Nothobranchius furzeri: one gene and its partner. The protein of the gene in region 2 purifies or fractionates together with the protein of the main gene of each other region. This does not show direct contact. Links are inferred from orthologs where the notes say so. Each region holds a gene or a part of one and is shown on either strand. Other genes may lie near its edges.

Region 1 (3,657 bases), on a different chromosome or scaffold from region 2:
CTGGACAGCCCGCTCAACCTGTTGAGCTGGTGCTGTCACCTAAACATCCGTTGTGGCTGTTACTCACCAGGGGAGCAGATACCGTCAGCATCCAGGATGTTGTGTCTCCATACGGGCTTACGCGTGGCAGCGTCCAGCATGGGTCCCATCACTTTATCAAAGGTCTGGTTGGTGTAGCGACGCAGGGTGCACTTAGCGTTTTTGTAGACAAGGCACCGACCAAACCCTGAAAAGAGGCAAGTTGAGCCTTCTGCTGTGGTTGGGGTTAAATAACGCAGAAAGGCTCTCACCTCTGTCCAGCGAGGCCTTGTTGAGGACCAGAGCGTCCTCAATGTCGTAGCCGCTGTAGCTCATGACGGCCACGGTGGCGTTCTGACCTGCAGGCAGTTTCTCAAAGTCAATCAGCTCGATGGTTTTTGTTTTAACCATGGGCCTCTGAGGATAAACCAGCAGGTACATCAGAGTGTCGATGCGGTTCCTCTGGTTGTAGCCGATAGTTCCTAAAAACAAACAAACAAAAAAACAAAAAGTGGATGAGGAATAAATCATTAAAACAGCCTGAAACATTATCAATAAGTAATTTCCAGTTTGGCCATTTAATCTAATTTCAAAGGGGCTCTGGGGAAGACCCAGGAGAGTTATGACATAAAGCCTGGCCTCCCTGGAAGCCCTGACATTTGTCAGATGCTATTACCTCACAATCAGGCTACAAGCTCAGTGGCTGATAATAGGCTCAGGCCACACAACCAGATTTGCACATGTAAAGAGCTGCCCACACAAAACAGACAGGACAGAGGATATTAGTCCAAATATAGTTCCAGTCAGTGTTTTTGTAAAGGTGGGGGGAGGGCAGGAGCGGATGGATGGAGGTGAAGCAGCAGCCAATCTGTGTGTGTGTGTGTGTGTGTGTGTGTGTGTGTGTGTGTGTGTGTGTGTGTGTGTGTGTGTGTGTGTGTGCGTGCGCGTGTAGCTCTTACGAATGCTAGCCGGGCTGTTTGGGGAAGTTTTGGTTACCAGGGAGCTTGGGGTGCACACTCTGTGGGCTTTCTGCAGCTGAGCACACTGACCCCCCGAGCACAGCCAGAGCAGACACAATGAATTGCTAATGACACTCTGGGTGACTGGCAGGGAAAGGGCCTCCGCACACACGGCACAAAGGAAAACCTACGCAAGCGCCCCATGTTTGATGTCCATGCACACACACACACACACACACACACACACACACACACACACACACACACACACACACACACACACACACACACACACACACACACACACACACACACACACACACACACACACACACTCAATCACACATCCAAATGTATTCTGACAAGAAGTGGTGCAGCCGCAGAGCTTGTTCATGAAGAACCAGCAGGGCTGCTTGTATCCACCCTGTTTGTTATTCTAATGTCCTTTTTAACTCATGCAAATAAAAAGTTTAAACTCTGCAGATTTAGGAGGCTTGAAAACGGTGTTCATGTAAGATTAGAATACTGCAAGTGTGTGTGTGTGTGTTTGGGCGTACAAAGGGAGCGGCTCAGCTGTGTGTACGATGTGAAACTACCTGCTCAGATCAGGCTTACCCATGGCCTGCTTGCCCATAGCGCACTGGTACGTGTTCCTGGGGGACTGGTTGTGGTGGGGGTAGGGAATGAGGCCCGCACACACTCCGAGCAGCGTGAAGGGCTCGATCTCCAAGTGGGTCGTGTCTCTACAAAAAGGGCGTTTAAAAAGCAGCATGCCAGGATTGAGACAAACAAGGAGGGACGCGCTTCAAAATGTCCGCTTTCACGTTTCTACTCACTTGTTGATCATATGTTCATACAGAGCAATTTGGCAGTCGTTCTCCTCGTTCACATCCAGGTACTCCACCAGGCCTTCATGAAGGAAGTCCTCAAAGGTTCTGGAGACAAGTTAAAGAAAAAAATCATTACAATGATCAAAGAAATGATCAAAACAGGCTGTTTAAGGATAAAAATGGACTAAAATCTAATTTATGCATCTAGAGAGATTAGAAGGGGTTATGTCTGGTCTTATAATAGATCTGTTTTTTAATTAGGCCCGGTGTTGCCTAACTAAATTAAATGCTGACGTTTACCAAGAAGCTACCTCAACTCTCACCTGTAGCCTTGAGACAGATCTTCAATGTGTTTATTATTCACCATCGTCTGGCCCTTCTTCACGATGATGTACGGCCTGCAGGAGAAACGAAAAGTCATTTGAAGCCTTTAACGCAAAATAAAACAAGATTTATAGATATTTGTTTCTTCCAGCCTTGCCCACCTGCAGAGTCTACCTCCGTCAGATGAGATGTAGACGCAGCGGTCGGTCAGGTTGGTGGAGATGGACACAAACTCGTTGATGAAACCCGCCCGGCGCATGAGTCTGAAAGTGTTGACCAGCTTGTAATGGTCTCTGATCACACCCAGAATGTTTCCTGTGGACACAAACATGAGAGAGCGGTCAAAGTATAAAAGAAAAGCCGTGGTCTTCAGAAAGCCTGGAGACCTCACGGTCAGGACGACAGGGACATTTGGCTTCTCGATTCGAGCGAGATGACTTCAGGAGGAGCAGGAGCATCGAGCTGCACGTAAAACGACGGCAAACTGCACAGAGATTGAAACACTTCGCGACTAAATTTCAAAAAGAAAATTTGGCTTAACTGTTGCTTACACACCTCTCATGACCTGGCGGCCATATTTGAAACTTCTTGCAAAACCCAATTCCAGCACAAATCCTGCATGAATTCTTGCAAACTAGTCAGCAACAGTCTCCGCCCAGTGAGACACTGGATTCAGGAGTTTCCATCAGTAATACAGATGTTTTACAACAAACAGTAATGTGTGCAGTAGAGCTCGATTCAACTGTTTGATCACAGATGTGCTTGAACTCAAGGCTGCTGCTCTCTTCCGGTAGTTCAAACAGAGCACAGGCGGCTCAGAGCTTTAACAGTGTCTTTAACGTTTCGGCAAACGACATTTCTGAGTAAGCATTTCTGTCTCCTTTCACGTATAGTAATAATGTGCGTAAAGATTCAGAAAATTTAAAGCCTTTCACTCAAAAAAAGCACAAAATTCTGACTCCAAACTTGAAGCGTGAGCCGTGGTTTTGCACCCTGAGCCCTGCTGCGAGAGTGGAGTTTAAACCTCCTGCAGGAGGCTTGTTCATATCGGGTGGAGAACAGAGGTCTACCTCAGTGTGCACGTTGCCTCTGAACGCACCCTGAAGGGCTCCGGCACCTGCTGCTAATGACTAATTAAAGAGCATGGCAACTAATATAATGTGACAGTTATCAGTGCAAAGACAAACAAATACTGTAATTAAATGTCCGAGTTTTGACTAGAGAATAACACCTACTGCTGCTATGAAATTAAAAACTTATCAGCTCCTCTGCTAAATTAAACAGAGTATTTTCTTCTTCATGTTTATGAAGCAAAACGTGTTTAAAACGAGAAGAATTAGCATTTCTTTTAAAAAATGATCTGAAGCAACAGCAGGAGGTCTTAATTCTGCTTAATAATTCAGCTCCATTGGAGGGCGGGAGTTGTACCGTTGAGGAAAACCAGGAAGACGCTTGGATAGGAGAGCTCCTCCCCACACAGCAGGTTGACGTCTTCCACCCCAAGGTTGAAGGCCAGTTTTATAATG
Region 2 (2,644 bases):
TTCTTGTTACTAATTTCTTCTCTTGCATGTTTGATTAAAACAAGTCTCACTTAGAAATGAGACCCCATAATTTAACAAGATTATGAAAATTTTAAAATAAACACGACAACGTGCTCTCAGATAAACAAACCAAAAAACATTGGTGAATCTGTGAATTGTTGGCCAGCAGATGAGAATTTTCCTTCTTAGAGAAATGTGGTTAAAACTTTGAATTTAAATCCTAAAGGTTGATTTTTATTTCAGGAATGACTGTGGATCATATCTATTTAGCAGATGTGTTAAACTAACTGAAGAGTTTTCATCCTGTTAATGTTGCTGGCCACAAAGGATTTTAAAAGAAAACAGTCAAATCAAACTGATTTTTCTAAAATAAAACTTTTATGCATCATTATTATTTACTAAAATAACATAAGGAACACCTGACACAAACCGCGGATGCCAAAAACCAAAAAGGCTGAATTTATCTTGCTGCTCTAAGATGTTTCAGCAAGAAGTGCAATTTAGGAATGCCACGACCCGAATGAGCGAGAATCTACACCAACATGAAAGCTGAAGCCCCAGTTTATGTTTATTTACAAGGTCAGACTCAATAAAAACAGAAAACAACAACTAAAGATCAATCTGCAGCTCCACTCCTCTTCATCGTGCATCAAAAACAACCACTGGAATCAATGAGTCAAGGAAAATAAGCACACACACACACACACACACACACACACACACACACACACACACACACACGAGAGAGAGAGAGAAAGGATACATCTCTTTGTTCTCTTCTTGTACATGATTCTGTAGCCACATTCTCTGCATCTGATCGGGTCGCGGGCCTTTATTTCGTTTTCAGTGTGACACTCTGCATAAAAAAAAAATATATACATTTATAAAGACATATAAATGTATTTCAGAACTGCTGCAAAATTAATTTAGAACAGTATAATTGTGCAAACACATTAACAATCGACGTTTACATGCTGTCAGGCTAAAATGGAATATTTACTAATAAGAAATATGTTTTAATTAGTCATAACTAGTATTTTTCTGATGACTTTTCTATATTTCGTGAATAAAACCATCAAGAATTGCAATGATAGTTGCTTCATCAGCAAACCTCCACAAATGTAGATCATTGGTTGCTGCTTGGGCGGCTGTAGATCTTTCTGTGTGTCCATTTTGTTCTATAAAAGACAGAAATGTAAACATTTCATCAACAACCCTTCTTCTTGTTAGCATGCTAACAGAAACAGCATGGTGCTCCGGACATTAGCTCAAAACTGCATAAACGTCTCTGAATTTGGTGAAACTGTATACGCACAGAGCACAAATTAAACCGTGTACATGCATTTAGTTAATTACTGATGAAAGGAAGCGAAATGACTCACCGTTTAACTGCGTAATTTGGGAAATGTTTACTGTTTTCACACACTAAACCATCCGCTTTTACGATTGGGTTTCTGCGCTTGCGTCAAATTTCTTCTTCTTGGTTTTACAGGACGATCGACACGCTTTACGTGCCTTTACTGTCACCCAGCGGTTTTGAGGCATTGTGAATTATTCGAAACACATCTGAACTGATTTTAAAAATTGGAAGCAAAGAATTTTTTTTTGTATATTTTATACTAAAAATGTTCCTGTCTTGACACAACATCCTCTTGAAAGCAAATCCACAACACGGGTGTTTCATTTTTCAATTACCGTTACGCTACAAATTCTGGCTTAATTTAGTATTCTTTTGGGACCTTATGAATAAATTAGACTTTATTTAGAGTTTTTGTTTTTGACTCGAGCCAAACATTGTCAATCTGATTCGTAATTGTGTTTTTGTAAAATAAAACAATGTAAAGTGCGCTTCCGTCCCGACAGGGGGCGCTGTCGCAGCGTCGAACACAAGAATGTCCATCATTTGAAGAGCTCCCCCCAGCTGGCCCTCCTCCACTAGTTTGTGACAACAACGAATCTGCCGACAATGTCCACGTCTTGACTACCACTGACAAACCCGCGCTCTCTTTTTCATACTTTGTTTGACTTTTGTTTCCGAGTTGGTGTACCATGGAGCCGTCCGCGCCTAAAAGGTTTGTGAACGTTTGCTTTGAGACCTCTGCTTTACCACCAGGCTAATGTAGGCGGTAGCTCAGGATGCTAATGCTAAGCGAATTCAGTTCTCTCAAACTTTCCACAGAGATAAACAAGCAGAAAGTAAAAACACAAAACCGGTTAAAACCTCCATTGAGATTATGGTTTGTTTAATTGTTTAGACGTTTTTGGATTTCGCGTCGTTGGGGGTGATTTCATTGTCGCTTCAAAAATATATAATAAATTAAATGTGTATTAAGGAAAATCATAATTTATTCGAAGTAACTGTTTACTTTATTTTGGACCGATCTATTTACTGGTTAGCTTAAGCTAGCACCTTTTAAGTTAATTAAATTTAAAATGTATTTAAATTTTATAAGACAGTAGGATTAAATTGTTTATTATCTGTTTAATTTGTGTACATTGATACTAGGTTGCATTAAATCCAGATTATGATCAAAGACCAAAAATATCTCAAAATTTTTTTAAACAGTATTTTTATCTAGATTTCATCAATTATTTTCATCATTCCTCTTAAGTTATAAACACACACTCAAGTTCTCCTACAGAA

What was found. Proteins that work in one complex are often made in the same cells at the same time.
Region 1: the proteins of polr2k (region 2) and polr3b purify together in Homo sapiens (affinity purification with mass spectrometry; 3 studies listed by BioGRID and IntAct, with this or other methods). This does not show direct contact. The link is inferred for Nothobranchius furzeri from reciprocal best matches to the Homo sapiens genes POLR2K and POLR3B.

The regions. Positions count from the first base shown.
Region 1 is NC_091744.1:73,552,060-73,555,716, forward strand, and holds part of polr3b (DNA-directed RNA polymerase III subunit RPC2), read right to left. Parts: coding exon 3,560-3,657; intron 2,447-3,559; coding exon 2,293-2,446; intron 2,206-2,292; coding exon 2,131-2,205; intron 1,913-2,130; coding exon 1,814-1,912; intron 1,721-1,813; coding exon 1,593-1,720; intron 501-1,592; coding exon 291-500; intron 227-290; coding exon 68-226; intron 1-67. UniProt on the Homo sapiens protein: Catalytic core component of RNA polymerase III (Pol III), a DNA-dependent RNA polymerase which synthesizes small non-coding RNAs using the four ribonucleoside triphosphates as substrates.
Region 2 is NC_091759.1:1,441,109-1,443,752, reverse strand, and holds polr2k (DNA-directed RNA polymerases I, II, and III subunit RPABC4), read right to left. Parts: upstream 1,515-2,644; 5' UTR 1,383-1,514; intron 1,179-1,382; 5' UTR 1,173-1,178; coding exon 1,112-1,172; intron 857-1,111; coding exon 764-856; intron 663-763; coding exon 640-662; 3' UTR 544-639; downstream 1-543. Other genes in the region: stk3 (serine/threonine-protein kinase 3), read left to right, coding at 2,050-2,072. UniProt on the Homo sapiens protein: DNA-dependent RNA polymerase catalyzes the transcription of DNA into RNA using the four ribonucleoside triphosphates as substrates.